Macaca fascicularis: one gene and its partners. The protein of the gene in region 1 purifies or fractionates together with the protein of each later gene. This does not show direct contact. Links are inferred from orthologs where the notes say so. Each region holds a gene or a part of one and is shown in the gene's direction. Other genes may lie near its edges. The genes, in order: FBL, SNU13, NOLC1, DDX24, SIRT7, DDB1- and CUL4-associated factor 13 and C1QBP.

Region 1 (4,725 bases):
TTTTTTTCTTTTTTTTTTTTGAGACGGAGTCTTGCTCTGTCGCCCAGGCTGGAGTGCAGTGGCGCAATCTCGGCTTACTGCAACCTCCGCCTCCTGGGTTCACGCCATTCTTCTGCCTCAGCCTCCTTAGTAGCTGGGACTATAGGCGCTCGCCATTACGCCCGGCTAATTTTTTGTATTCTTTAGTAGAGACGGGGTTTCACTGTGTTAGCCAGGATGGTCTCCATCTCCTGACCTCGTAATCCGCCCGCCTCGGCCTCCTAAAGTGCTGGGATTACAGGCTTGAGCTACCGCGTCCGGCCCACAAAATTCTTAATACTTAAGCAGAATCTGTTGACCCCTGACGCCGCTCTCTGCCCCCACTCTGATCTTGTCCATCCTTGTCTCCTTCTGATTCATGGCAGCAGCCAGTCCTTGGTTTTCCTGCTTCCACCCTCACGCCTGCAGTCTGCTTCCCACACGCAGCCAGAGGGACCTGTGTCAGATCACATTCCTTCTCTGCTTGGAACCCTTCCATGGTTCCATCTTACTGCCAAAGTCCTCACTATGTCCCACAAAGCTCCTCACAATCTGCCCTTGTTAGCTACCCGCCCTTATCTCCTCTCACTCTCCATCTTGCTCACTTTGCCCCAATCACCCTCCTCATTTTCTCTCCAACTTCCCGTATCTTTCCTTCCTCAGGGCCTCTGCATCTGCAGATCTCTTCCCTGCCTGGAACTCCCTTCCCCTAGATAGGTGCATGCCTCACTCCTCACTTCCTTCAGCTCTTTAGCTCAAAAGTCACCTGATGCATTCCCTGACCACCATGCCAAAAAAACAAAAATCACTTGCCCTCCAAAATCTCTATCCCCTTTCCCTGCCATGATTTTCTCCAAAGCACTTACTGCCTTCTAACATTCAACATGTTTGGTGTCCATTTCCTCCATTAAAAAGATTAACTCCAGGAGAGTGGAGATTCTTTTTTTTTTTTTTTTTTTTTTTGAGGCGGAGTCTGGCTCTCTTGCCCAGGCTGGAGCGCAGTGGCCGGATCTCAGCTCAGTGCAAGCTCCGCCTCCTGGGTTCACGCCATTCTCCTGCCTCAGCCTCCCGAGTATCTGGGACTACAGGCGCCCGTCACCTCACCTGGCTAGTTTTTTGTATTTTTTAGTAGAGACGGGGTTTCACTGTGTTAGCCAGGATGGTCTCGATCTCCTGACCTCGTGATCCGCCCGTCTCGGCCTCCCAAAGTGCTGGGATTACAGGCTTGAGCCACCGCGCCCGGCCGAGAGTGGAGATTCTTATGTCTCGTACACCGCTGTATTCCCAGCTCCTAGAACAGCGCCTGGTATACATGAGAGGCACGGTAAATGTTTTTCGGATGTATGAATGGAAGCACAGAGTCGGTCACTGTTCTTGGCGCTGGAAATGTGTCAGGGAAGCCGTTTTGGGTGTACAGGGACCTCAGGGAGTTAGAAATACAAAAGAGGGGGCAGAGGGCACAGCCCGTGCGAAGGCCTCGCTATGAGCCCTGATTATTGGGGTGCTCGCACTGCGGAAGAGGAAACCGGAAGCGAGTTTAGGGAGACCGCTGCACAAGCAAAGGCTGGGAAGGCAGAGAGTGAGGGTAACCGGCTTAGTTTCGATAGGCTCGAGAATCCTCGCCCACTGTGCGTGCGCCGAGCTCCAAGCGGGGCAGGGGGCCGGGGCGGGGCTACGTGGTTGCGTCACGCGCTGCACGTCGCCGCGCGCCTGCGCTCTTTTCCACGTGCGAAAGCGCCGGACTCGTGGAGTTGTGAACGCCGCGGGCTCCGGAGCCGCACAAACCCGGGCTCACCATGAAGCCAGGTCAGGCTGGGGTGGGGTCCAGGATCAGGGACGGAGGCCGGGCGGGAATCCGGGTGCCAGGCCAGAATCGGAGGGGTGGGGCCTTGGCCTGGGGGCAGGGGTTCTGAGCACGGATCCGGTCTCATGTGGGAAGGGGAATCCTGATTCCAGGAGGTCTAGGGGTTAGTGACTGGCTTCGGAGGTCACGGTCGTGAGTCGAAGAAGGCCTTGGGCCTGGCACTGGGGGTCTTGACCTGGGGTTCGTCTCATTGAGGCCGTCTAATAGGGATTTTGGATATTGGGCAGGAGGCGGCACTCAGGAGTCTTGGACTAGAGTCTGGATCCCGGCATCTGGAGTCTTGGATAGCTGGGCGTGTTTTGGGAATCAGCCTTGGGTCGGAGATGGAGAGTTCCTGACCTTGGGTCCTGGAGATGTGTGTGGGAAGCCCCTATTTGCCTTCCCTGTCGCTGCCACCACCACCATCCCCTTATCCCCCAACCCAGCTTTTCCGAGTGGGCCGGAGCGGAGGACTCCTCGGTTGGCCGTGTGCGGCACTCTGGCTCACTTTCCCGCCTTCTGCACTTACAGGGGGGCGGATCCCCAGGGATGGAGTGGAGATTTGGGGACTAAGATTTCCACCTCCGGGGCGAGACTTAACAAGCTCGGCATTAGATTGGGGTAGGGGGGTGGGTGGTTGTCACAGGACGTAAGTGGTTTTATTCTTTCGATTTTCCATTAGATTCTGCTGAACCCACTGCCTTCATGGTGGAATGATGAGGGTCCTGGCTTTGACAGCAGAAGGGCCTCAGTTTAGTATTTCAGTTCTGGCTCAGCTTCTTAGCCTGCTGTGTGACCTTGGGCAAGTGGCTTTACCTCTCTGAGCCTCTGTTTTCTCATCAATAAAAAGGCGCCAGTTAGGATTAAGCGACGTTTAAAAAAAAATAGCACAGTGCTTGACATAATAGTATTGGCTCTAGCTGTTGCCTTTATCTTTCTCAAAGAGAACAAAATTAGAATCCTTCTCCGTGGTGTCTGAGCACTTCCTCCATCTGGCCTGCCCAACCCCCACTCGTCTGTGTGAGAACTTGCTTCATTGAGTTTGGAGAATTTTCCACCATGGCCCAAAGGGTCTGTTTTCCTGGAACAGGCTTTATTTTTCTTTTTTGTGTGTGTTTGTGTGGAGAGATTGGGGTCACCTGGCAGGAGATTTGTGGATCCGTGCCCTTCTCCCAAGCTCCCTTTCTCTTCCGTGTTTGGGGGATCTCCTGATGAAGTGGGCTGAGGGATTGTAGGCCAGGTATCTCTCCTATTGAGATCCTGACTTGCCTGCAGGCATCCTGGTCTATGATTACCTCAGAAATGGAGGATACCCCTTCTTCCAACCTTCTTCCGTTGTGTGGTAGAATGTGAAGTTGTAAAAGTTGTCAGGTGTTAGCTCTTTAGTAAGGATTTTAGTCTGAGTGAGAGAACCCTTTGGGAGCTTTTGAGCAGGGGCGTGGTGCAGTCTGACATTTTTAAAAGGGATTCTTCTTGCTTCCATGTGTGAAAGACCTCAGGGTGGCAAATGTGGAAGCAGGCAAATCGGTGGGAAGCTTGTTGCTGTAATCTAGGAGGTGGTGTGGTGGACCAGGATGGAAGCAGTGGACATGCTGACGGTTTTACATGCTTTTGAAGACAGAACCAACAGATTGTATGTGGGTGTGTGAGCAGAGTCAAGGATAACCAAGGGTTTGGGGGTGTGTAGCTGGAAGGATGGAATTGCCATTTTTGAGATGGAGAAGGCTGTGGAAGGAAAGCAGATTTTAAATCAGGGAGTTTGTGGAACCCCCCTTCCCCCCAAAAAAGAACTTACTGGAAAAGTTTGTGTGAACATGTGTTTTTTCTGAGGAGTGGGTACTTTTGGTACATTTTCCCCCAAAAAGCTCCAGGACCTGAAATGAGATGTTTTGAGTATCTGGGATTGAAAGTTGGCCGGGCGCGGTGGCTCAAGCCTGTAATCCCAGCACTTTGGGAGGCCGAGACGGGCGGATCACGAGGTCAGGAGATCGAGACCATCCTGGCTGACACGGTGAAACCCTGTCTCTACTAAAAAATACAAAAAACTAGCCGGGCGAGGTGGCGGGCGCCTGTAGTCCCAGCTACTCGGGAGGCTGAGGCAGGAGAATGGCGTGAACCCAGGAGGCGGAGCTTGCAGTGAGCTGAGATCTGGCCACTGCACTCCAGCCTGGGCAACAGAGCGAGACTCCGTCTCAAAAAAAAAAAAAAAAGAAAGTTTACACTCCTGCCCACTCCGCCCCGTGCACATGCCAGTACTTCCTTTTTATTAGGCCTGGGTTGAGACTTTCATAAACCTAGCTGTGGCATCTCCCCTAAATGAAGGTCCTGGCTTTGGAAAACTGTTGGAGGGTTTGGGCAAGAAAATAATGAGATCTGAGTGCTGTTAGGCACATGGATGCAGCTGGAAACCATCATTCTCAGCAAACTATTGCAAGAACAAAAAACCAAACACCGCATGTTCTCACTCATAGGTGGGAATTGAACAATGAGAACACTTGGACACAGGAAGGGGAACATCACATACCGGGTGCTGTTGTGGGGTGGGGGTAGCAGGGAGGGATAGCATTAGGAGATATACCTGATGTAAATGACGAGTTAATGGATGCAGCACACCAACATGGCACATGTATACATATGTAACAAACCTGCACGTTGTGCACATGTACCCTAGAACTTAAAGTATAATAAAACAAAACAAAACAGAAACAGCACTTATTAGTTGCTGTGTGGAAAGTGGACTGAAGGGGGATAGAAGATAAAAAGTGAACAACTCTTGGTTATGTTCTGGAGTTTTGAAAAGGAAACTGTTCATTTTAAAAGATCAAATTAGGAGTAGCTATTAAAAATTACATTTTCATCGTTAA
Region 2 (4,704 bases), on another chromosome or scaffold:
GGCCGATGCTCTCCCCGAGCAGCCTGAGTTTCCCTGTGATTCATTTCTGGTACACCAGCCATAAAACAAGGTCCTTGTAACAAGTGACAGAGACAATCATGGTGCTGAGGGAAGGAGGGTGAAAGTGTATGGGGCCCACTCACCTTGATGACATTCCTTGTGCTGAAGCGGGTCCTGGTGACCTGGTGCCAATAGTGCCGGACCTGCCAGACCAGAAAGAGGCAGAGGACAAGCAGGTTGCCACAGCACTGAGGGTCCCTGCAGCTGTGATCCTGGGAAAGCAGGCCCTGCACTGGCTCCCACTCAGGGCCATGGAATGGCCCCACCACGGCACAGGCACCCAACAGTGACAACAACATGGCAAAGTTTAGACCAGGCAGATGGTGTTGGGAGCTAGGGGGCAGACCTGGCACATCTGATGCAGCCAGCTGCAGTAGGATAGCTGCCACATCATAGCACCCCTGTCACTGAGGCCACCTCACAAAGCGGGCTGATGCCCCATCCTCAACTCTGACCCTGGTGCCAGGGCTGGCTAGCATGCTCTTGGTGCAGGTAAGGACAGTATTGGGGAATTGCTCAAAAGTAATTAAGAGGAAGAACTTGTTTTAAACAACCCCATCCTCTGGAATGAAGAGATTAAGTTCCCTGAATGTGTGATGGGGTTATATAACCTGCAGTCTGCTTGATTTCTTTCTTCCTATGAGATACTTGGATCTGCCTGTCCTTCTATCTATTATCAAACATTTAATAAACACTGTATTGAATACAGGTATTATTGTTTAACCACTCAGCATCCCTTTCTCGTTGCTTGCAGTATCCTGATTTCCCATGGGGTAATTACTTTTCCCATCTTAGGATCAGTGTTGGTGGGAAAATAAATGCTACCCTGAAGACTCTTTTACCCAAAGGTTCTATTCAAAATAAATATCTGAGCAGGCAGGGACGTCAGCCAATCATAATGAGCCAGGACTTAACCGTTTAGTGGCTGAATTTTTTTTTTTTTTCAGACCGAGTTTTGCTCTTGTTGCCCAGGCTGGAGTGCAATGGCGCAATCTCTGCTCACTGCAACTTCCGCCTCCCAGGTTCAAGCGATTCTCCCGCCTCAATCTGCCGAGTAGCTGGGATTACAGGCATGCGCCACCACCCTCGGCTAATTTTATATTTTTAGTAGAGACAGGGGTTTCTCCGTGTTGGTCAGGCTGGTCTCGAACTCTCAACCTCAGGTGATCCGCTCGCCTCAGCTTCCCAAAGTGCTGGGATCACAAGCGTGAGCCACCGCGCCCGGCCTTGTTTTGTTTTGTTTTGTTTTTTTGGTCTTTGAGTCTCGCTCTGTTGCCCCAGCAGGAGTGCTGGAGTGCAGTGGCACGATCTCAGCTCACTGCAGCCTCCACCTCCGGGGTTCAAGCGATTCTCCTGCTTCAGCCTCCCAAGTAGCTGAGTTTGCAGGCGCCCGCCACCACGCCTGGCTAATTTTTGTATTTTTAGTAGAGACGGGGTTTCGCCATGTTGGCCAGGCTGGTCTTGAACTCCTGTCCTCAAGTGATCCGCCCGCCTCGGCCTCCCAAAGTGCTAGGATTACAGGCATAAGCCACTGCGACCGACTGGTGGGTTATTTTTTGAATCTTTAATTCATTGTTTCTGCCAATAATTTGTACTGGACAGCTCATAAGAACGCCAAAGTACGTTCCTTCATCAACACAGAGCCAGTTTCCGCGCCAGTGCCCCGTAGGGGGCGGGGCCCGCTAGCTCGCTTGCGTAGCGTCATCTTTGCTTCCTGCCGCGCGGGGCCATTTCCGCTGCTGCTTCAGTGAGTTTTTCCGGTGGAGGCGAACGCTGCTCAGAAGTCGGCTGCGCTCTCCTAGGAGTGCCGAGCCCGCGGAACAGCAGCCATGGTGAGTGCGTTCGCCGGCCAAGGGACCGGGAAGCAGGAGACTCGGGGTTGCGTTCACTCCCTGGCCTGTTAGATGAAGGCTTAGACCCTGCGCCGTCTCATCCGCCGGCGCTGGGTCTTAACCGCCGGGCCCTGAGTTAGAACTCCAGCAGCCGCGGGTTCCCAACAGCCTGGCCCGAGGTTAGAACTCAGGAAACCTCAGGATCCCCGCTGCTGTGGTGCTTTGCCGCACGATCTGTTTGCGTGGCAGAAGGTCTGCGGCGAGCGGAGGGGGCATGGCCTAGCGGGAGAAAGAGACCAACCCACGTGGGAGAGGGCAAAAAGTTGGGTGAAGAAAATTTGGCTCCAACTTTTTTTTCCCCTTGTTTCTTTAAGTACGAAATCTACGATGGCGTGGGACCCTGGGATTCGGATCAACCTCTCCTACCCACCCTACCTCACCCCACCCCCGTTGCTGGGGTCCAGGAGATCTCCTGTGGGTGTGCGCCTAGTGCTCGCCGCGAGTCACACGCGCCAGGGACCTAGAGGAGACTTTGGCAATTGGGGGCTGTGGGGAACATGAAGTGAGCGCGACTCACGGCCTGGAGCGCAGGAAGGGCTTCTCCCGCAAGGTGGTGGCTTCAAAACCCAGAAGTCTGGTAGCACCACGTGCGGCGTCTCTGAATTCTTGGTCGTCTCTGACTTTTAAATATCTAGGGAAAGTTCTAAAACGTGTGTCCTGGCGTAGTCGTTTTGGTTGGCACTTGGTGAGGAGGGAAGAATTTGCAAAGCACTGTAACGTCTATAGTTAATCCTTCCAGCGGAGCTTGGATCCCGGCGGTAGCACTCCCCCCAAAACCTCCTCCCGTGCATTTTGAAGCTTAGTGCGTGGCTGAGCCTAGAACTCGAAGCTTTCAAACTCAGTGCTCGCTTTTATGCAGTTCCCTGAAACGTTTTGGAATCGGATGGTCTCAGGTTGAACTTTGCAGTTTTCCTCAACTGTAAAATGGGAATGACAGTGCATCAGGATGTTGTGAGGATCAGATGAAATAAAGCATGTTAAACATCTAGTCCTCATGCTTGGCACAGAGTGAGCACGCAGTATTTGTTGTCCAATCAAAACCTTGCAAGTTTTGGCTGTCTGGTGTACAGGGAAACCAAACTGATCACGCTAGGTAGGGATTTAGGTTGGCTGGTGGTATGCTATCATTCATTAATTTATTTAACCTCTGAAGAAATTGAAAGGCGAATAAATACACCCTAAGCAAGTTTCAATTAGTGTTTATAAGCTAGGTAGTTTGGTTTTAAAATTGAGTTTAACTTTTTGTTTACTAATAGTGAAACATTTAGGTATTTGATGGCTGTTCAGATTCCTGAAGTTTTCCTCTTATGAATTTGATATTTATTGAGAGTTGAGGATCCTGATTTCCAGAGAATGGGTTGTTGGAAACAACAGCAATTTTAAAAGTTTTTTTAAATTGACATATCATAGTTGTATGTACTTTGGGGGTTCCACGTAATATTTTTAAGTATATCTATTTTAAAATGTGGGACAGGGCCAGGCACGGTGCCTCATGCCTGTAATCCCAGCACTTTGGGAGGCCGAGGCGGGTGGATTATGGGGTCAGGAGTTCAAGACCTGCCTGGCCAACATAGTGAAACCCTGTCTACTAAAAATACAAAAAAATTAGCCAGGCGTGGTGGCGGGCACCTGTAATCCCAGCTCTTTGGGAGGCTGAGGCAAGGAGAATCGCTTGAACCTGGGAGGCAGAGGTTGCAGTGAGCCAAGATCGCGCCACTGCACTCCAGCCCGGGTGACAGTGTGAGACTCCGTCTCAAAAAATATAAATAAATAAAATAAAAGGTGATAAATTATTAACCAAAATTTCCAGCCGGGTACGGTGGCTCACACCTGTAATCCCAGCACTTTGGGAGGCCGAGGTGGGCGGATCATGAGGTCAAGAGTTCAAGACCAGCCTGACCAACATGGTGAAACCCCATCTCTACTAAAAATACAAAAATTAGGCGGGCATGGCGGTGCGTACCTGTAATCCCAGCTACTTAGGAGGCTGAGGCAGAAGAATCACTATTCCGGGGAGGCAGTGGTTGCAGTGAGCCGACATCGTGCCACTGCACTACAGCCTGGGTGACAAAGCAAGACTCTGTCTCAAAAAAAAAAAATAAAATCCCTACTGTAGTATCAAATAAAACATATTTGTATGGCCGGATGTGGTGGCTCACACCTTTAATCCCAGCACTTTGGGAGGCCGAGGCAGGTGGATCTCGACTCACTGAAACCTCTGTCTCCCGGGTTCAAGCGATTCTCCTGTCTCAGCCTCCCAAGTAGCTGGGATTACAGGCACGCACCACCACGCCCAGCTATTTTTTGTTTTTGTTTTTTAATAGAGACAGGGTTTTGCTGTGTTGGTCAGGCTGGTCTCAAACTCCTGACCTCAAGTGATCTGCCTGCCTCGGCCTCCCAAAGAGCTGGGATTACAGGCGTGAGCCACCGTACTCAGCCTAAACAATTTTTTTTTTAATTAGCCAGGTGTTGGCCGGGTGCGGTGGCTCACGCCTGTAATCTCAGCACTTTGGGAGGCCGAGGCGGGCGAATCACAAGGTCAGGAGTTGTAGACCAGCCTGGCCAACACGGCAAAACCCTGTCTCTATACTAATAATACAAAATTTAGCCTGGCATGGTGGCGCATGCCTGTAATCCCAGCTACTCGGGACGCTGAGGCAGGAGAATCTCTTGAACCCGGGAGGCGGAACTTGTGGTGAGCTGAGATTGTGCCATTGCACTCCAGCCTGGGCAACAAGAGCGAAACTCCATC
Region 3 (3,944 bases), on another chromosome or scaffold:
TTTGTTGATTTCTCTCCTTGTGTCTTTTCTAACAGAAGGGAGTTAAGCCCCAAGCCAAGGCAGCCAAAGCTCCTCCTAAGAAGGCCAAGAGCTCTGATTCTGATTCTGACTCAAGCTCCGAGGATGAGCCACCAAAGAACCAGAAGCCAAAGATAACACCTGTGGCAGCTAAAGCTCAGGCTAAGGCCCCTCCCAAACCAGGTACTGTTTCTGTTCCCAAGAGGCTGGGCTGGGAACCAGATTGCTCTGGGGACTTGTGTTAAAACTGCTGATTTGGCACAGGGGTGAAATGGTACTGGTTGTTGAACTGGAGGTATTGATTACTGGTCTTTTAATTTTAAAGGTTTTACTAATAACAAGATTTCATAGGAGCTAGTAAATAGAGAAACAGTTATTGCAGCAAGGAAAAATGTATATTTTTTAAAATGATATCCATTTGGTATTTTTTTGTGACATTTCATAGACATTTTATGTTCTTACACATCCCATTCCACTGTAACCACTTAAATATCTATTTGTTGTGCTTTTCACTGCCTTTTTTATTCTTGTACGTCATTCTATGAGACAAATGAGAATTTTTCTTTTTTTCTGTAACTTGAGGGTTAGGTTATTTCTCTGAATGGAGGTTGAAGTGAAAGATTTTAGAGGGCATATTGAGATTATTTATGTCATCTTTTCTTAGTTTTATTCCTGCCATGGGATAGGAAAGGCATCCTTTGATGTGGTAAACCATGGCATTCTCCTTGATGGCTGCTCTAAAGTTGAAAGAATTGGTGGACTCCTGGCCAGGCACAGTGGCTCACGCCTATAATCCCAGCACTTTGGGAGGCTGAGGCAGGCGGATTGCTTGAGGTCAGGAGTTCAAGACCAGCCTGGCCAACATGGCAAAACCTTGTTTCTACCAAAAATAAAAAAACTAGCTGGGCATGGTGGTGGGCACCTGTAATCCCAGCTACTCCGGAGGCTGAGGCAGGAGAGTTGCTTGAACCACTGCACACTGCTCTGTGCGACAGAGTCAGAGCCAGACTCCGTCTCAAAAGAAAAAAAAAAGGGGGGGAATTGGTGGACTTCTAAGTTCTCTGCTCATAGGAAGGAGGTTTTTCATGGTCCTGACTTGCCCTATTACTCCTTACTCTTTCTTTTTCTTGGGTATTCCAGCTCGAGCAGCACCTAAAGTAGCCAATGGTAAAGCAGCCAGTAGCAGCAGCAGCAGCAGCAGCAGTAGCAGTGATGACTCAGAGGAGGAAAAGGCAGCAGCCACCCCCAAGAAGGTCTGGGCCATAACTTCGGTCAGGGAAGAGGTGACCAGGGTGGGGTGTGTGTGTGTCTCCATTCCCTGGCAGGATTGGTTGGATCAGCATTTTCCTGTGGTAATCAGTTTTCTTTCCAATGCAGACTGCACCTAAAAAGCAAGTTGTGGCCAAGGCCCCAGTGAAAGCAGTTGCCACCCCTACCCAGAAGAGTTCCAGCAGTGAGGATTCCTCCAGTGAGGAGGAAGAGGAGCAAAAAAAACCCCTGAAAAATAAACCAGGTGACTGGACATGGAGAGTCAAGCTGTATGACTGTGGTCAGGGCCCAGCTGCAGTAATCACATGGACCTCTCCATAGAGCTGCTTGAGCGTCCTCATGACATGACAGCTAGCTTCTCCCAGTACTAGTGATCTGGGAAAGCAAGGAGGAATCTCCAGTGCCTTGTATAACTTAGACTCAGAAGTGACACCGTGTTCTGTTAGAACTGAGTCATTGGCCGGGCGCGGTGGCTCACGCCTGTAATCCCAGCACTTTGGGAGGCCGAGACGGGCGGATCACAAGGTCAGGAGATCGAGACCATCCTGGCTAACAAGGTGAAACCCCATCTCTACTAAAAAATACAAAAAACTAGCCGGGCGAGGTGGCGGGCGCCTGTAGTCCCAGCTACTCGGGAGGCTGAGGCAGGAGAATGGCGTAAACCCGGGAGGCGGAGCTTGCAGTGAGCTGAGATCCGGCCACTGCACTCCAGCCTGGGTGACAGAGCGGGACTCCGTCTCAAAAAAAAAAAAAGAACTGAGTCATGATTCTGGCCTATACTCAAGGGGAATTAAGCTTCATTTCTAGAAGAAAGTAGTATCAAAAAATTTGTAGACATATCTTAAAACCATCATACTATCCTTTTTAAACAGGTCCCTACAGTTCAGTCCCCCCACCTTCTGCTCCCCTACCAAAGAAGTCTCTGGGAACCCAGCCTCCCAAGAAGGCTGTGGAGAAGCAGCAGCCTGTGGAAAGCAGTGAAGACAGCAGTGATGAGTCTGGTGAGTCAGAGGGATGCAGCCTCCCCTCAGTGTGGGTCTGGAGAAGGGGATGAAGAATAAGGGAGAGAGAAAGCCTTCCATCCCTCCATTGTTTTTTGCTTAAAGCAAGACAGAGCTATGGCTCTGTGTGTGTCTTTGCATTCTTTTTATTGCTGTCCTGGTTGGGTTGGGACTCTGGACCCAGCATAATGCTACAGGTTCTCCTCAGATTCAAGTTCTGAAGAAGAGAAGAAACCCCCAACTAAGGCAGTCGTCTCTAAAGCAACCACTAAACCACCTCCAGCAAAGAAAGCAGCAGAGAGTTCTTCAGACAGCTCAGGTAAGGCATATGGAGGCCCTCAGTTCAGTGAAATGCTCTCAGGCAGCTGCTAAGGGCTCCCCTGAATCTGAATTGGGGAGCTGTTGATCCCATCCCTCTGTGTCTAGACTCTGACAGCTCTGAGGATGTTGAAGCTCCTTCCAAGCCAGCTGGTACCACCAAGAATTCTTCAAATAAGCCAACTGTCACCATCAAGTCACCTGCAGCAAAGCCAGCTGCAACCCCCAAGCAATCTGTGGGCGGTGGCCAGAAGCCTCCGATGAGAAATGCTGACAGCAGCTCCAGTGAGGAAGAGAGCAGCTCCAGTGAGGAGGAGAAGAAAAAAAAGACGGTGGCCACCACTAAGCCCAAGGCGACTGCCAAAGCAGCTCCGCCTCTGCCTGCCAAGCAGGCTCCTCAGGGTAGTAGGGACAGCAGCTCTGATTCAGACAGCTCCAGCAGTGAGGAGGAGGAGGAGGAAGAGAAGACAGCTAAGTCTGCAGTTAAGAAGAAGCCACAGAAGGTAGCAGGAGGTGCAGCCCCTTCCAAGCCAGCCTCTGCAAAGAAAGGAAAGACTGAGAGCAGCAGCAGTTCTTCCTCTGATGACTCCAGTGAGGAGGAGGAAGAGAAGCCCAAGGGCAAGGGCTTTCCCAGACCACAAGCTCCCAAGGCCAATGGCACCTCTGCACTGACTGCCCAGAATGGAAAAGAAGCTAAGAACAGCAAGGAAGAGGAAGAAGAAAAGAAAAAGGCAGCAGTGGCAGTTTCCAAATCAGGTCTGTACCCAGTAAACATGCCCTCTGGGTTTTGTCCCCCCAAATCAGGATGGGATATACTCTTTGAGAGTAGGGTAGTGAGAGGAGGCCCACCACTGGGCTTCCAGTTGTGGAAACTGGGAGGAAGAACAGGAAACTGGTCTTTTTTTTTTTTTAATAGAATCTTACTCTGTCACCCAGGCTGGGGTGCAATGGCATGATCACGGCTTGTGCAGCTTTAACTTCATGGGCTCAGGTGATCTTTCCACCTTAGCCTCCTGAGTAGCTGGGACTACAAGCATGCACCACCATGTCTGGCTCATTTTTTAACTTTCTATAGAGACAGAATCTCACTATATTGCCCTGGCTGATCTCAATTTCCTGGGCTCAAGCAATCCTCCTACCCTGGCCTCCCAAAAGGCTGGGGTTACAGTTGTGAGCCACTGCACTTGGCCTGAGTCTGGCTTTTTGTTTTGTAGGTTCATTAAAGAAGCGGAAGCAGAATGAGGCTGCCAAGGAGGCAGAGACTCCTCAGGCCAAGAAGATAAAGCTTCAGACCCCTAACACATTTCCAAAAAGGAAGAAAGTAAGTTATCTCACTTT
Region 4 (3,624 bases), on another chromosome or scaffold:
AGACAGAGCTTCACTCATGTTGCCCAGGCTGGAGTGCAATGGCACAATCTCGGCTCACCACAACCTTCGCCTCCCAAGTTCAAGCGATTCTCCTGCCTCAGCCTCCCGAGTAGCTGGGATTACAGGCATGTGCCACCATGCCAAGCTAATTTTGTATTTTTTTTGTATTTTTAGTAGAGATAGGGTTTCTCCATGTTGGTCAGGCTGGTCTCAAACTCCTGACCTCAGGTGATCTGCCCGCCTTGGCCTCCCAAAGTGCTGGGATTACAGGTGTGAGCCACCGTGCCTGGCTCAAGAGCTTTTTAAAAACACTACTTGCTGGGCATGGTGGCTCACGCCTGTAATCCCAGCACTTTGGGAGGCTGAGGTGGAAAGATCACTTGAGCCCAGGAGTTCAAGACCAGCCTAGACAACACAGTGAGACCCTGTCTTTACAAAAAATAAAAATAAAAAAAATAAAAGAAAATAGCTAGGCATGGTGGTGCCTCCCAGCTGCTTGGGAGGCTGAGGTGGGAGATCGCTTGATCCAAGGAGGTTGAGGCTGCAGTGAGCCATGATCGTGCCACTGCTCTCCAGCCTGGGCAGCAGAGTGATACCTGCCTTAAACACACAAACACAACTCAAGTGAGGCTTTGCTTCCCAGAGGCCTGAACTCTGTTTCAGGTGAATATTTTCTGTTACTTCCCCCCAGGAGCGAATCCGTTTAGCTCGACAGATTGAGAAATCTGAGTATCGGAACTTCCAGGCTTGCCTGCACAACTCTTGGATTGAGCAGGCAGCAGCTGCCCTGGAGATTGAGCTGGAAGAAGACATGTATAAGGGTAAGCCCTTGGGCGGGATTGGGAATTAAGGAAGTTGAAATCTCTCTTTAACTTTTGCCTTGTTGGAACCATCTCTACTACTGTGGATCTTGTCAGAATCAGCAAGACGTCCTTCCCCCTCTTTGCTAACAGGCCCTAGTCCCAGATGAGCCTACTGGCCTCTGTCAGTCTTTGTTTCCTCTGTCTCTGTCTTGTGCCCTTAGCTGCCTCCTCTTACATGGACAGGCAGTGGAGTACAGTGAGGAAGGGAGCAGGCTTTCTGGCCAGGCTGCCTGTGTTAGAATGCCGGCTCATTGCCTCAACTATGTTACTGAGTCAAGTTATTTAACCTCTGTTGTGTCTCAGTTTTCTCCGCCATAAAATGGAAGTAGTCAACTACCTACTTCATGGGATTGTTGTGAAGACTGATTGAGTTAAAAAATGTTAAGTGCTTGTGGTATTGCCTGGCAAATAGAAAGTATTACATTTTAAGTTACTTGTCATTATGGTTCCTACTACACCTGCCTTCCAAGCTGACAAAGCACTTCCATGCCATTATCTCATTTGATCTTCTCCACTCTCATGACATGAACACAGCAGGAATTACTCTCCTTTTACATATGGGAACTAGATACTCACAGCAGAGGCACTTTTTGCAGGGCAACAGCTCTGTCACAAGGCATTTCCTGAGCTGCTACTCTGTATGTGACCAGAGGCTGAGGCTTCAGGGATGAGTCTGCTCGGTCCCTGCTCGAGAAAGCTCCTGAGTCTTAAGAAGTGGTAGAACCAAATCTAGAACTGCATGCTCCTTCCACACCACCAGGGATGCGGCTCAGCAGAGATGTTGACACCTCGGTGCCCAAGTCAGCAAATTCAGAGACAGACTAACTGCTGTCTGCTCAGCATGGAAGCCAGGAGCCAAACCAGTGGGCTTGATGACAGTGAGCTGGTCCTCCTGGTGGCTCAGGGTTGGGGCTTGGGCCCGGCTTCCCTTCCTAAAGACAGGCTGAGGTGGAACCCTTTGGCTCTTCCAGCCTCTCCATGTGCAGTCACAGCACTGGTGGCAAGGCACAGGACAGCTGGGCTACAAGGAAGCATTCAGTGTCTCCTGGGGGGCGGGGGGCGGGGGGCAGTGGGTGGTTGTAGTTGTGAAGTCACCAAACCCTAGGTGGGCAGTAAGTGGGTGGGTCATAGGAAGAAAAGTGATCTTCAGTCAGGAGACTTGGGTTCTGGGCTCTGTCTGATGGCTGGCTCTGTGATGTGAGCCAGGTGACTTCTCTAAGCCTGCATTGCCTCATCTATAAACATAATTCCAGCCTTGGAGGATTTTTATGAAGTAAAAGGACAGAGCGGTCCTGCGTATCCCCCGCAGATGGTTAGATGTTATCCATTTACAGCCCCTGCCAAGCCACCACTGGCTTCTTCAGAGAACTTTTGAACCCTGCCTCCCTAAAGTAGTTCTAAAACATTTTTCATTGTGTTATCCATCAAGGGAAACAAAATGTTTCTACAAACCATAGTAAATAGGATCTTTTTTGTATTGTGTTTCAAGGAGGAAAAGCTGACCAGCAAGAAGAGCGTCGGAGACAAAAGCAGATGAAGGTTCTGAAGAAGGAGCTGCGCCACCTGCTCTCCCAGCCGCTGTTTACGGAGAGCCAGAAAACCAAGTATCCCACTCAGTCTGGCAAGCCGCCCCTGCTTGTGTCTGCCCCAAGTAAGCGCGAGTCTGCTTTAAGCTGTCTCTCCAAGCAGCAGAAGAAGACAAAGAAGCCAAAGGAGCCGCAGCCGGAACAGCCACAGCCAAGTACAAGTGCAAATTAACTGCCCTGGTCAAGTGTGTTAGTGACTGCACATTGCTCTCTGTTCTCTGGCTATTTGCAAAACCTCTCCCACCCTTGTGTTTCACTCCACCATCAACCCCAGGTAAAAATGTCTCCCTCTCTTCCTCTCACACCCATAGCGGGAGAGACCTCATGCAGATTTGCATTGTTTTGGAGTAAGAATTCTATGCAGCAGCTTAATTTTTCTGTATTGCAGTGTTTATAGGCTTCTTGTGTGTTCAACTTGATTTCATAAATTAAAAACAATGGTCGGAGCCATTGTGTCATCCTGAATTTTTTTTTTTTTTTTTTTTTTTTTTTTTTTTTTTTTTTAGCTAGAAGATGGTTGGGGGCATGGTGTCGTTTGTTTCATTATTAATTTGATGATTCTCCTGGGCCAGCACAGTGCTAAGCCCTTGAAAAGACAGGAATAGTGTCAGGCCTCTGGCTGCAGGCCAAGATCGGACAGTGTGGATGGAGCAAGAGGCTGGAATGTTCAAGAGGCACATGTTCCTGCTTTACCCAGAGCAGCACCCTAATAGCTCCTTAGTTCTCTCCCACACTCTTGGCTATTGTCTGAGCCACTGTGGGAGGTGGGCAGGAATGAGGTTGCTGTCTTCAGGCTTCCCTCACATCACAGAGTCAACAGTAACAGTCACAGGTCTGACATGTGAAGCCCTCAGGATCTAGCCCCAGCCTTGTCTCCACTCCCCTCCTCTGTGACAGAGCAGGCTCCTGCCCACAGTTCCATGCACCCCTTCTCTTGTCCTGAGCCTTTGTGCAGAATAGGCTTTTCCATCGGTCTGGATTGCCTTTTGGTCTTCTCCATCCCAGAGCACTGCTATGGATCCTCTAGTCCTGAGCCTCTAAGTGGGGGCAGTGCTTCTCCTGGGGCTCCCTTAGTATCCCATGCTTACCCTCTTCATAGCACTTGCCGTGCTGTGTTCCCTTAGCTGAGCTCCTTGGGAGAAGAGGAACTCAAGGCTTGGTCAGCCTGGTATAAA
Region 5 (4,462 bases), on another chromosome or scaffold:
AAACCGTGATATATGTCTTCCCTTCCACCTTGACTTTGCCCCAACTCCTCCTTTATCCTAACATGGACACTCAGATTTCAGAGGACTACCCAGCAGGGACAAGTCACCTCTCACCTGGAGAGTGAGGCCCCTGGCTGCTGCTCTGGGTGGCGCTGGTGTTGCTGGGGCTTCAGCTCTTGGTGCACGTTTCAGATAAGCATGCACACTTCTGACCGGTGGTCAGGGCCCGGCCCACGGCTCTGAGCGGCTGCAGCCTGCTTTGGGACGATGGTCAGGTCCCATGTTGTCCCTGCTGCCTCCCTCTGGAGTGGCCACTTGGCCAAAGCTCCCATCCACATCTGGAAAGTCTGAGCTGCGGCCTGCTGCACCGTTTCCGCTCTGGGATCTTGTGAGTTACTTTTTTAGGCTGTGGTTTGGTGAAAGGAACCAACACATTAACGATTTTTCCCCCCAGAAGCCACTGAATAATTCTTTTTGGTGTATTTTTGCCTTCCTGTTGGCTGTCTGGCCTTGGAGCAGGTCGGGAGAGTGAAGTACATAATCAGTGCCACACAGAGGCAGGGCATGTCTGAGACTGATGCCTGTCCTGCCTCTGGCCTGTGTCCTGGGTGTGTGCCGTACCTGCTGGGCCAGTCCCACACATTTCCACCCTGCCCCTGGAGCAGCAGCTTTGATACCATGGGTGTCCCTTGAGTCTGAGCTAGAGTGTGTCCCTGATAAACTGTGAGACCTCCCTGTTCTTGGTGACCCCAGTTGGGCTTTGACCCCTCCAGCAACCTTGTGTCCCATCCCTGCCCTTCCTCCCACCCCCTCAATCTGCTAGTCCCTGAAGCCTTTAACCAAACGGGAGTGGGCACAGAAAGCCTTCTCCTGGCAACAGGACAAGGGCTGCCCGCGTGTCCAGCCCTGTTGCTCTCCTGGCACTGAGAGGTGGATCCAAGCAGAGTTGATCAGTCCCCCTGCCAGCCCTGCCTAGGTCTAGCCAGGGGAGGTTGTGTGTGTGTGGGAGAAGACCCCGGGATGTGCTGGGGTGGGATGGAGGTTATTAAAGATCTAAGTGAGGAGGGGCTGGGGTTTGGATGCGGGGTGAGGCCCGAGCGCTCACACTTCGTGTAGGGCTGGCAGGGGCCTGACCTCGGGCAGGGCAGTGGCCTTGGTGCCCCACCCCTGCCCTGCGCAGTATTTATTGCTAAATTATTGTCCAGGAGGGGCAGCACTGGGCCTGGCCCCCCGGGTATTTATTGCTGTACATAGTGTATGTTTGTGATATATAAGGTTTTCTTTATTTTGTATATGATCAATAAACCTTTTAAAGAGACTGGCAGGTGCTTCTTTGGGGCGACGCGGCGGGCGGAGCCGGAAGAGGTGGGTGGGGGCGGGACCCGTCTTGCGCATGCGCCCTGAGCGCGGCCTGCCGTGTGAGGCGGAAGCGGAAGAGCGGGTCTCCAGGGGAGCGATGGCAGCCGGGGGTCTGAGCCGCTCGGAACGCAAAGCTGCGGAGCGGGTCCGAAGGTTGCGGGAGGAGCAGCAGAGGGAGCGCCTCCGCCAGGTACGCCGCCGTCGCTCCCCGGTCCGGCTATGCCCGGCCCGCGCCGCCGCTCACCGCCCGCCTGCCCGCAGGTGTCGCGCATCCTGAGAAAGGCGGCGGCGGAGCGCAGCGCCGAGGAGGGCCGGCTGCTGGCCGAGAGCGCGGACCTGGTAACGGAGCTGCAGGGCCGGAGCCGGCGGCGCGAGGGCCTGAAGCGGCGGCAGGAGGAGGCGAGTTCCGCGGGCGGCGGCCGCGGGCGCCCCCGGTTTCGGGAGCAGCCGGGGCGACGGGCGGTCCCGGGTGGGGCGGCCCGGGGCGGTGACCACCCTGGCGTCTTGGCAGGTGTGCGACGACCCGGAGGAGCTGCGAGGGAAGGTCCGGGAGCTGGCCAGCGCCGTCCGGAACGCCAAATACTTGGTCGTCTACACAGGCGCGGGAATCAGCACGGTAGGGAGGGAGGCGGGGGCGGACCCCAGGACGGAGTACGCGCTCCTGTAATCGCGAAAAACTCGCCTTTAAAGCAGCTTTAAGGTTTTTTCCCTTTCTTAGAGAAACACGAAATGACCAAAACTTACCTAAGGTAAACGCTTTTTAAACGCTTAGTTTGTGGTACAGCCAGTTAAAAACAGGCAAGGAGCAGAGATACGAATGGGCTGTAGTAGCTGACTGCTCGCAGTCACCCCCAGGTTATGTGGACAGAGCTAAGCCCAAAGCTGTCGTGATTCTCCACTGTGTTCTCTCCATGTTGAGGGAAGATAAGTAGAAAGTGACACAGTAAGAGCCGGAATACACCAGGTGAAGAAGAGAATTGCATTGTGTTTTGAGAAGTTTCACTGACAAGTTATCCTGGGCTGTGGGACATCACTAGCTTTGAAAGTGTAGCTGGCACGTCGTCCATCTAGTCCGATGGGTGAGTGTGGAGTGCTGGGCATGCGTAGGCGTAGCAGATCTGAAGGCCAGGTGATTTCTGTTCTCAGGAAGCCTTTAGGTGACAATCAGGTATGTGAACAAATAAGCATAATGTAAAGCTGGCTGTGCTGAATCACTAGAACAAACCCAGGCACACACTATGTGCTCTTGGAGTTGGGAAACCTACCTGGGTTGGCTTTTTGTGGGAGGTAGCCTTGATTGGGCCTTGAAGGATGGGTGAGATTTACAGGAGAAGGTGGGAATGAGGCACTCCAAGCAAAGAAGAGCAGAGGCTTAGCAGGAAGAATGCATAAAGGGAGTGCACTGCTGACTCAAATACCTGGAGCCCTGGCGTTTGGTCTCCTCCCTCCACAAGTCACATGTAAAAGTCCAGTCACGCTGGGCGCGGTGGCTCTTGCCTGTAATCCCAGCACTTTGGGAGGCTGAGGTGGGCAGATCATGAGGTCAGTAGTTCAAGAACAGCCTGGCCAACATGGTGAAACCCTGTCTCTACTGAAAATACAAAAATTAGCCGGGTGTGGTGGCAGGCACCTGCAATCCCAGCTACTCAGGAGGCTGAGGCAGGAGAATCACTTGAAACTGGAAGGCGGAGGTTGCAGTGAGCCTAGATCGTGCCACTGTACTCCAGCCTGGGCGACAGAGCGAAACTCTGTCTCAGAAAAAAAAAAAAGTCCAGTCATGTAATTATGTAACAGTCATGTGATCTCTTATGGAGCTTGCAATGGCAACTAGAAGCACATGCAGCTTGTGGATTTCATCTGAGTGTAACTGAGGTTTCTATCTTGAATGTGACTGTCCAAACCACTGCCGGGGGATGGTGCATTTTTCTGAGTTTAAGCAGGAGTCAGGAGTCCCCAAAAGGGAACAGAAGGCACCTTGATATCTTCTGTGCCCTCTCTGGCCTCAGTTTGTTTCACAGGATTGAAATCCTGGAAAGTTAGATGCTTATCTCATCTGGAGAAGTTGTTCTGCCTTTTTTTGTTTGTTTGCTTGTTTGTTTGTTTTGAGACGGAGTCTGGCTCTGTCGCCCAGGCTGGAATGCAGTGGCGCGATCTCGGCTCACTGCAAGCTCTGCCTCCCGGGTTCACGCCATTCTCCTGCCTCAGCCTCCCAAGTAGCTGGGAATACAGGTGCCCGCCACCACGCCTGGCTAATTTTTTGTGTTTTTAGTACAGACGGGGTTTCACCATGTTAGCCAGGATGGTCTCGATCTCCTGACCTTGTGATCCACCCACCTGGGCCTCCCACAGTGCTGGGATTACAGGCATAAGCCACCGCGCCCCGCCTATTCTGCCTTTGTTAAGGTGGAGCGGGAACAGTCAGCACTGGGACGTGAGAATAGACAGTTGCCTGCCCCCACCTAGGGATTCACCTTTTTTTTTTTTTTGAGACGGAGTCTCGTGCTGTTGCCCAGGCTGGAGTGCAGTGGCTGGATCTCAGCTCACTGCAAACTCCGCCTTCCGGGTTTGCGCCATTCTCCTGCCTCAGCCTCCCGAGTAGCTGGGACTACAGGCGCCCGCCACCTCTCCCGGCTATTTTTTTTGTATTTTTTAGTAGAGACGGGGTTTCACTGTGTTAGCCAGGATGGTCTCGATCTCCTGACCTCGTGATCTGCCCGTCTCCGCCTCCCAAAGTGCTGGGATTACAGGCTTGAGCCACCGCGCCCAGCAGGGATTCACCTTTTGCTAAATGTGTGAGCCGTGGGCTCGGCCCTGGGGGCACTTAGGAACATGACTAGTCTTCCCCTGCGGTGTGGAGGACACATGTGCCACAGAGCCCAGCTTTGTGCTCGGTGCCAGAGAGGCTTCCGGGGACAGGCAGGGCTGCGTGCAGCCTGGAAGGATGAGCCAGGCCAGGCGGGAAACAGAAGTCCAGGTAGAAGGGAGGAGCCGAATTGGGGTGCACTTCATATGGGCTCAGGCAGGTCAGCCTGTGGAATGAACAGATGCCAACATGCAGGCCGGCCTGGAATGTGGCAGGAGTGACAATGGCTTCCCATTTCTG
Region 6 (3,671 bases), on another chromosome or scaffold:
AATTCTATCACAGGCTCACAGTAATTATCCAACTGCTTCACTTAAACAGCTTCATCCTCTTGACATTAATACTATTATAAGGGAAGTAGGATATGGTTGCTATTTGCAGGGGGTTTCCAAGATTACCACCCAGATAAAATTTCTTTGTATTTGTCCTAGTAATCTCATATGCCTCCACACCACAACAACAATATACCAAGGTACTAGGTGTTTGTTTAAATATTTTTCTTATACTCTTTATAGTCCTTCTCCTTTCCTGTCTCCCTGAATTCCCTATATGTTGCCACCTTTAACATGTCGGGCTTCATCCTGGTTACTTGGATATCTCTCCAACTAGCATTAACACTTACAATGAACCTTACTCTGCCAAGTCTTATGGATTACACTGTACTTGAAGGGACTCATAAGCTATTAAGGAAAGAACATTCTGTGTGCAAAGGATTGTTGGTTTTGCTTACTATGAGTCTCTGCAAGGTATGATTCCACATTCCCTATTTATACTCAGAATTTCATCCCTTTTAACACCACCTTGTATCCCAAATTCCTGTTTCCCCACTCCCACAGGAACCTAAAAAGCATACACAAGGCATGGTAGCTTCATTCTCTGCCTATTTAAGTCAATACGCAACCAAGCTAAAAACATAAACCCTCTCAAAGGACAGGTTTCCTGACCCAAGAAAAAATCCCCTGTTGTAGACCCCCTTTTTAAACAAGTCCAACTCAAACATTAAGCTTCTATTTTTTTTTTAAGCAACAGAAAACAAACATTACTTCAACCCTGTTGGTTATGTTCCTAAACCCCTTTGCAACTACACTGTAAGTATAAATTGTACCAATAGAAAATATGTGTCGGGGGAAAATATAATTTGGTACCAGTTAGAATATCAGGCCTAGCCAACCTCAATGCCCCAAGTCTCCAAAATATAAACTGTCACTTCTGTACAGTGAGGCCCTCTCCAGACACTTATCCTGATGTAACTCCTTGGCAAAATTGCAAGGTTATGAATTCCCCTAACAATTGCCTACAGATTCTCATGTTCAGCAACCCCAAATCTCAGATTTTTCTAGACTCTCAATGTTTTCAGTTATTCTGGGAAAACAAAATCCACCCAAATGCAAACTATAATATCCAAGCCTTACAGCCTCTTAGAACTGCTACTCTAGCTGCTTCATACTTCTTCTTCAGGTCAGAAGGGCAAAACACACTTCGTTTCTTCACTCTAAGTTTAATATCTTGCCTTAAATCCAAGGAAGCATTCTTCCTCTGAGAAACAAATGATGTTTTTGGGATCTCTGTAAATTATAACCTTGAAGTTCATTTCTCCTTGCTTTGGTGATTGGTAATTTAGAAATTACAGTTACAAACAAGGTCATCAAGGATAAAATATTGTTTAGGCATCTGGTTTTTAGAAATTGTTCTAATTGGTTATCTTTGCAGAAAATCCGAGTGAGGGAAGTTTTTACTGAAAAGTCTTGGTAGGCGGCGGTGGGCGGAACTCGTACCGGAGAGCTCGTGGAGTCCGGCCGTAGGAGCAAGCAAGATGAAGGTGAAGATGCTGAGCCGGAATCCGGACAATTATGTCCGCGAAACCAAGTTGGACTTACAGAGAGTTCCGAGAAACTATGATCCTACTTTACATCCTTTTGAGGTCCCACGAGAATATGTAAGAGCTTTAAATGCTACCAAACTGGAACGAGTATTTGCAAAACCATTCCTTGAGTCTCTGGATGGTCATCGTGATGGAGTCAATTGCTTGGCAAAGCATCCAAAGAACCTGGCTACTATCCTTTCTGGGGCATGCGATGGAGAGGTTAGAATTTGGAACCTGACTCAGCGAAATTGTATCCGTACAATACAAGCACATGAAGGCTTTGTACGAGGAATATGTACTCGCTTTTGTGGGACTTCTTTTTTCACTGTTGGTGATGACAAAACTGTGAAGCAGTGGAAAATGGATGGGCCAGGCTATGGAGAGGAGGAAGAGCCATTACATACGATATTAGGAAAGACAGTCTATACTGGGATTGATCATCACTGGAAAGAAGCTGTTTTTGCCACATGTGGACAGCAAGTAGACATTTGGGATGAACAAAGAACTAATCCTATATGTTCAATGACCTGGGGATTTGACAGTATAAGTAGTGTTAAATTTAACCCAGTTGAGACTTTTCTCTTGGGAAGTTGTGCATCTGACAGGAATATAGTACTGTACGATATGAGGCAAGCTACTCCTTTGAAAAAGGTTATCTTAGATATGAGAACAAATACAATCTGTTGGAACCCTATGGAAGCTTTCATTTTTACAGCAGCAAATGAAGATTATAACTTATATACTTTTGATATGCGTGCACTGGACACTCCTGTAATGGTCCATATGGATCATGTATCTGCAGTGCTTGATGTGGATTACTCTCCCACTGGGAAGGAGTTTGTGTCTGCTAGTTTCGATAAATCTATTCGAATCTTTCCTGTAGACAAAAGTCGAAGCAGGGAGGTATATCACACAAAGAGAATGCAGCATGTTATCTGTGTAAAATGGACTTCCGACAGCAAGTATATTATGTGTGGATCTGATGAAATGAACATTCGCCTGTGGAAAGCTAATGCTTCTGAAAAATTGGGTGTGCTTACATCACGAGAAAAAGCAGCCAAAGATTATAACCAGAAATTGAAGGAAAAATTTCAGCATTATCCTCATATAAAACGTATAGCTCGTCATCGACATCTACCAAAATCTATCTACAGCCAGATTCAGGAACAGCGCATCATGAAAGAAGCTCGTCGACGAAAGGAAGTGAATCGTATTAAACACAGCAAGCCTGGATCTGTGCCAATTGTGTCAGAGAAGAAGAAACATATAGTGGCAGTTGTAAAATAATTGGTATTCCTAACAATCCTGATGTATAATTATTTGTTACTTTTGATTTGAGAACTCTACAAATAAAAGTGCTGGTACTAGAAAAAAAAAAAAAGTCTTCCAGCCAACTGAACTAGAACTTGTACACTAGTTTACTTAGCCCTAGACATCCAAATTGTTCCTTCCAGTCAATTCCTCCCAATCCCACTTTACAGTTCTAGCAGAGAAAGCCGAGCAGTACATTTGATTGCCCTAGGGATTGCCGTTGGATTAAGTATGGGAATAATAGGTATGAGCCTCACAGCCCATACTTATATACCCTCTCAATGGAACTCCCCACCAACTTCAAACATATCTCGGACACCCAGGAAGTCCTCCAAAATCAGGCCAACTTACTAGCACAAATTGTTCTCCAAAATGGCTATGGCATAAATCTGCTTATAGCAGCCCAAAGGGGTATTTGTTTGGTCCTTGAAGGGGAATGTTGTGTTTATGTTAATCAATCGGGAATAGTGCGGAACCATGTCAAAAAAGCTCAGGGAGCAAGCTGCTGAAATAGGAAAAAAAAAAAAGAAAAAAAAAAGCATCACAAGAATGGTCTTCGTGGATATCTACTTAGGGATGGTTCTCCTGGTTCCTCTCCTTTTTGGGCCACAAACAGGTATTTTATTATTCCTTCTTTTCAGTCCTTGTATCTTCGACTTACCTGTCAAATTTTCTAGATCTCGTGGGCTTGCTTCAATCTCTTTATTCTTTTTCTTTGAGTCTCCTTTGTGTACTTTCAAATAGTCTGTCTTCAAGCTCATTAATTCT
Region 7 (4,744 bases), on another chromosome or scaffold:
TTATCATGAGTTAGTAAGACACACCTTCTTAGTAGCTTGTATATCCTGGGAAGGTAGGATTGTTGGTTCTTAATCTAAATCTGAACCCCATTTCTGGGTTCTATGAATTTAGTGGAGCAGCTCACAGAACTCAGGGAAACACTTTTACCAGTTTCGTATAAAAGATATGACCAAGGATACAGATGGAGATGAGCAGGGTGGGGAATAGGGAAGAAGCTCCGAGCTGCCACGTCCTCCCTGGGCCACCACCCTCCAGGAACCTCCGCGTATTCAGCTATCAGAGGCTCTCCAAACCCTGTCCTTGGGTTTTTATGGAAGCTTCTGGACCTATCTAAATGATACAAGCCGGCTTCTTGTCCCCAGAAAAATGATGTTCCATTAGAACTTGGATGCAGGGTCGGAGGTGCAGAGAGGGAAGGTCACAGAAATTACTCATGGATCCTGCCCTTCAGGATGTCACAGTCTGGTTGGGTTTAACCCGGTTAAAACCAGCAATGCCAGGAGGTTTCTGTTGAAGAGAATGAAGCCTAAGGGCTGGGTGCGCACAAGCATGAGTTCTAAGCCGATGGAAAAAAGGAGGTTCTAGGAAGGCCTCTTTCAGGAAAACCCTGACCTCTTCCTTTGCTCTTACAACAATCAGCACAGAAGAGTTCTGTGACCAAAGGTTTGGGTTTTTTCCCTCCACACTAAGCAGCAGACACCAGCGGGGTGTCCTCCAATTCAATCCCAACATTATCTACCTGGAGACAGTGTCAGATCCCATGAGACAGTGTCAGATCCCATAGGTTGAGGGCTCAGTCCCCAAGACCGCCCCGACCTTCAGACAGCAATGGCAAGTCTGGGCCTCTGAAACTTCCGACCAGCCCGCTTCAAGTGGGGGTTCCCACGACCCCCCTCTTTGGGTTGTATTAACTCACTGGAGCAGCTCACAGAACTCAGGGAAACACTTTTACCGGTTTCATATAAAGGATATTACCAAGGATACAGATGAGGAGATGAGCAGGGTGGGCAGTGGGGAAGAAGCTCCGATCTTCCTCGCCGTCCCTGGGCCACCACCCTCCAGGAACCTCCACGTATTCAGCTATCAGAGGCTCTGCAAACCCTGTCCTCATGGGTTTTTATGGAAGCTTCTGGACATCAGCATCCCTTCCCCCAGGGCATAGGGTGGGACCTTCTCTGGGAAGGGACTTAAGACCCATAATCAGAAATGTGGGAGATTAGAGTCCTGCATTGGGGCGGGTGAAAGGAGGGCGGGAGAAGGGGAGAGTGAGAGTCTGTTTCCTGAGGCCTAACACACCCAACATTATCACAGAACACTGTAACGAGGGCTATGGGAGTTACGACCCAGGAACTGGGGATGAAAACCAATAAATACATAATATAACACCACAGCCTCCTAGAGGAAAGTGACCGTGTAAGGGGCTGGTGAGAGCTGGGGGAAGACAAGAGTGCATTCCACACAGCCCAAAAGCCTGGCGTGCCTTGAAAACAGTAGGTGGAAGCGGCCACTAGAAAGAATTAAACAGCTTCGGACAGAGGACTCAGGCCAGCGCAGCAAGAAGGCTCCGGAAACCGGATTCGAGGCTTCCCGGGCTGCACCGGAGGCCTCCAGCAGAAGGCGCGATTCCGCCTGGGGCCTTAGGTCCTCAGTGCGCCGGCGCGGGAAGCGCTTCCGGGCAAGGGCGGGGCTTCCGGCGGCGCTTTAGGTCGCGGGGTACTTGGGCCTGGATTGTCCTTTGCATCTGCACGTGTTCGCAGTGGATTGCGCGATGCTACCTCTGCTGCGCTGCGTGCCTCGTGTGCTGGGCTCCGCCGTCCCCAGCCTCCGCGCTGCCGCGCCCGCCTCGCCTTTCCGGCAGCTCCTGCAGCCGGCGCCCCGGCTGTGCGCCCGGCCCTTCGGGCTGCTCAGCGTGCGCGCAGGTTCCGAGCGGCGGCCGGGCCTCCTGCGGCCTCGAGGACCCTGCGCCTGTGGCTGTGGCTGCGGCTTGCTGCACACTGAAGGTGAGGTTCGCGCACGCGGGCCAGGGGTGTGGTTTGCGGTTCACGGAGGGGAAAAGACCAGGAGTGGGGCCTGCAACCGACCTCCGAGGTCTGGGACATTTTTCCATTGATTGGCAACCAGCGGGTTAAACCCACGTGTGATCATATTCCCCCCACCTCCCCTATCCACCAGTTTCATTTTCTGTTGGTAGGGGGGTGAATAAAATTAAATACTAGAGGGTACCTTCATCCTTAGTCTTATTCTCTCGAAAGTGGACTTTTGGGAAAGCCCAAGGTCGTGTTTGAAAATAGCATACGATACAACTATCGTTTGGCAAGTGGAAGAGGATGATCGGAAATTCTTCTGCTTTATAGCGGAAAGTGGTAATGCGTTCATTGTTGGAAATCACTTTTCCAGCATCAGGCTCAGCTTCCCACTAATATTATGGTATTTTTACAGATAAGGAAACTGAGGCTTCTAGAGTAACTGTAATAGCAGAGAGATTAGAAATAGTCCAGGTTTCTGGCTGCGATAACCAGGGTAATAGTTTTATGTTTTAGACTAACTGGCTTTCCTTTTTATGTATATGGATTTCTTTTCTAGGAGACAAAGCTTTTGTTGATTTCCTGAAGGATGAAATTGAGGAGGAAAGAAAAATCCAGAAGCATAAAACCCTCCCTAAGATGTCTGGAGGTTGGGAGCTGGAACTGAATGGGACAGAAGCGAAATTAGTGCGGAAAGTTGCCGGGGAAAAGTAAGTACTGGTCTGGGGATCCCAGGGCACCGACTCCCTTAACCTTGCAAGACCCGTCCTGGGTCATCCCTAGAAGAGCCTTGAGTTCAGGTGTGGATAAATGGTTTTCAAGAGAGTGAAGGATTCAATTGGACAGCTTCATAAGGTCCAGGCAGTCCATTCACTGAACACAAATTTGCTGTGGGCTGGTTACTAAGGAGACAAAAATGTAGCGCAAAAAAGTACTGACAGAATCTGTTTGATCTCTGATTTACAGCGCTGATACAGTAGCACCCTGCTCTCTCTAATGTTTAGCTTGGGTGAAAATGCAAGGCATGTAACTTATATGTAACAGGATGGGGTTCCACTGTAGTAAGGGCTGCCATCAGAGGCGGGGAGTTTGTGACCTAAGTCAGGTGCCCCACCTTCTCCTAAACTGTTAGTGTTTACACTTTTCTGCATTATAGTCATCCATAATCTCATTACACAGATAGACATTTGTCATCTTCCAGATTTTTAAATTGAGGCTGGGTGCAGTGGCTCACGCCTATAATCCCAGCACTTTGGGAGGCAGAGACGGCAGATCATGAGGTCAGGAGATCGAGAACATCCTGGCTAACACTGAAACCCTGTCTCTACTAAAAATTTTAACAGGGTGTGGTGGCAAGCACCTGTAGTCCCAGCTACTCAGGAGGCTGAGGCAGGAGAATCGCTTGAACCCCCGGGTTTCAGTGAGCCGAGATGGCGCCACTGTACTCCAGCCTGAGGGACAGAGCAAGACTCCATCTCAAAAAAATAATAAATAAATAAATAAATTGAATTTTCTTTATAATTGACCTTATGATGTATATGTAATTCTTTTTTAAAATCACAGCTTTAATGTGATTTAATTTATATGGCATAAAATTTACCCATTTATTGAAGTTTATTAAATTAAGTGGTTCTTAGTCCTCACAGAATTATGCATCGGTTACCACTACCTAATTCTAGAACATTGTTGTCAATCCCCAAACAATACCTATTAGCAGTCACTCATTATTCCTCCCTCTAGCCACCCCAGGTAATCACTAAGCTACTTTATGGATTGCCTCTTTTGGACATTTCATATAAATGGAATCATACAATTTGTAGCTTCCTCCCCACCCCACGGAGTCTTGCTATTACCCAGGATGGAGTGCAGTGGCACGATCTTGGCTCACTGCAGCCTCTGCCTCCCGGATTCGGACAATTCTCCTGCTTCAGCCTCCTGAGTAGCTGAGATTACAGGCATGCGTCCAGTTAATTTTTGTATTTTTAGTAGAGATGGGGTTTCGCCATGTTGGCCAGGCTGGTCTCAAACTCCTGACATCGTGATCCGCCCTCCTCGGTCTCCCAGAGTGCTGTGATTACAGGTGTGAGCCACCCTGCCCAGCCTGTTTACATTTTTAATTGTTGGGTTGTAAGAGTTCTTTAGTTTTGACCGGGCACGGTGGCTCACACCTTTAATCCCAGCACTTTGGGAGGCCGAGGCAGGTGGATCACAAGGTCAGGAGATCAAGACCATCCTGGGTAATGCAGTGAAACCCTGTCTCTACTAAAAGTACAAAAAATTAGCCAGGTGTAGTGGCGGGCGCCTGTAGTCCCAGCTACTCAGGAGGCTGAGGCAGGAGAATGGCATGAAGCCCAGAGGCAGAGGTTGCAGTGAGCCGAGATCACGTCACTGCACTCCAGCCTGGGCGACAGAGTGAGACTCTGTCTCAAAAAAAAAAAGAATTCTTTAGTTTTTCTGGGTATAGTGATCTTACCAAATTAATGATTTGCAAGTATTGTTCCCCATCTTGTGGGTTTTCTTTTCACTTTCTTTGTAATGCCCTCTGACACAAAAGTTTCTGATTTTGAGGAAGTTCAGTTTACCTATTTTTTTGGTTGCTTGTGCTTTTTTTAGTGTCACATCTAAGAAACCACTGCCTCGCCCAAGGTTGTGAAGATTTATGCCTTAATTTTTTCAGAGTTTTCTAGTTTTAGCTCTTAGTTGAGGTCTGTGATTCATT

The links.
Region 2: the proteins of FBL (region 1) and SNU13 purify together in Homo sapiens (affinity purification with mass spectrometry; 5 studies listed by BioGRID and IntAct, with this or other methods). This does not show direct contact. The link is inferred for Macaca fascicularis from reciprocal best matches to the Homo sapiens genes FBL and SNU13.
Region 3: the proteins of FBL (region 1) and NOLC1 fractionate together in Homo sapiens (co-fractionation; 3 studies listed by BioGRID, with this or other methods). This does not show direct contact. The link is inferred for Macaca fascicularis from reciprocal best matches to the Homo sapiens genes FBL and NOLC1.
Region 4: the proteins of FBL (region 1) and DDX24 purify together in Homo sapiens (affinity purification with mass spectrometry; 3 studies listed by BioGRID and IntAct, with this or other methods). This does not show direct contact. The link is inferred for Macaca fascicularis from reciprocal best matches to the Homo sapiens genes FBL and DDX24.
Region 5: the proteins of FBL (region 1) and SIRT7 purify together in Homo sapiens (affinity purification with mass spectrometry; 3 studies listed by BioGRID, with this or other methods). This does not show direct contact. The link is inferred for Macaca fascicularis from reciprocal best matches to the Homo sapiens genes FBL and SIRT7.
Region 6: the proteins of FBL (region 1) and DDB1- and CUL4-associated factor 13 purify together in Homo sapiens (affinity purification with western blotting; 3 studies listed by BioGRID, with this or other methods). This does not show direct contact. The link is inferred for Macaca fascicularis from reciprocal best matches to the Homo sapiens genes FBL and DCAF13.
Region 7: the proteins of FBL (region 1) and C1QBP purify together in Homo sapiens (affinity purification with mass spectrometry; 4 studies listed by BioGRID and IntAct, counting the BioPlex papers as one, with this or other methods). This does not show direct contact. The link is inferred for Macaca fascicularis from reciprocal best matches to the Homo sapiens genes FBL and C1QBP.

What each region holds. Positions count from the first base shown.
Region 1 is NC_088393.1:46,967,041-46,971,765, reverse strand, and holds the start of FBL (rRNA 2'-O-methyltransferase fibrillarin), read left to right. Parts: upstream 1-1,732; 5' UTR 1,733-1,814; coding exon 1,815-1,824; intron 1,825-4,725.
Region 2 is NC_088384.1:9,928,226-9,932,929, forward strand, and holds the start of SNU13 (NHP2-like protein 1), read left to right. Parts: upstream 1-1,806; 5' UTR 1,807-1,889; coding exon 1,890-1,892; intron 1,893-4,704.
Region 3 is NC_088383.1:111,164,301-111,168,244, forward strand, and holds part of NOLC1 (nucleolar and coiled-body phosphoprotein 1), read left to right. Parts: intron 1-35; coding exon 36-201; intron 202-1,158; coding exon 1,159-1,271; intron 1,272-1,395; coding exon 1,396-1,531; intron 1,532-2,159; coding exon 2,160-2,288; intron 2,289-2,496; coding exon 2,497-2,607; intron 2,608-2,714; coding exon 2,715-3,362; intron 3,363-3,820; coding exon 3,821-3,927; intron 3,928-3,944. UniProt on the Homo sapiens protein: Nucleolar protein that acts as a regulator of RNA polymerase I by connecting RNA polymerase I with enzymes responsible for ribosomal processing and modification.
Region 4 is NC_088381.1:162,066,540-162,070,163, reverse strand, and holds the end of DDX24 (ATP-dependent RNA helicase DDX24), read left to right. Parts: intron 1-691; coding exon 692-821; intron 822-2,352; coding exon 2,353-2,621; 3' UTR 2,622-2,895; downstream 2,896-3,624. UniProt on the Homo sapiens protein: ATP-dependent RNA helicase that plays a role in various aspects of RNA metabolism including pre-mRNA splicing and is thereby involved in different biological processes such as cell cycle regulation or innate immunity.
Region 5 is NC_088390.1:88,295,639-88,300,100, reverse strand, and holds the start of SIRT7 (NAD-dependent protein deacetylase sirtuin-7), read left to right. Parts: upstream 1-1,420; 5' UTR 1,421-1,456; coding exon 1,457-1,549; intron 1,550-1,620; coding exon 1,621-1,758; intron 1,759-1,870; coding exon 1,871-1,975; exon of another isoform or gene 1,976-2,819; intron 2,820-3,722; exon of another isoform or gene 3,723-4,403; coding exon of another isoform or gene 4,404-4,462. UniProt on the Homo sapiens protein: NAD-dependent protein-lysine deacylase that can act both as a deacetylase or deacylase (desuccinylase, depropionylase, deglutarylase and dedecanoylase), depending on the context. Specifically mediates deacetylation of histone H3 at 'Lys-18' (H3K18Ac).
Region 6 is NC_088395.1:99,228,965-99,232,635, forward strand, and holds DDB1- and CUL4-associated factor 13, read left to right. Parts: upstream 1-1,475; 5' UTR 1,476-1,541; coding exon 1,542-2,879; 3' UTR 2,880-2,973; downstream 2,974-3,671. UniProt on the Homo sapiens protein: Part of the small subunit (SSU) processome, first precursor of the small eukaryotic ribosomal subunit.
Region 7 is NC_088390.1:5,502,211-5,506,954, reverse strand, and holds the start of C1QBP (complement component 1 Q subcomponent-binding protein, mitochondrial), read left to right. Parts: upstream 1-1,674; 5' UTR 1,675-1,769; coding exon 1,770-2,001; intron 2,002-2,584; coding exon 2,585-2,735; intron 2,736-4,744.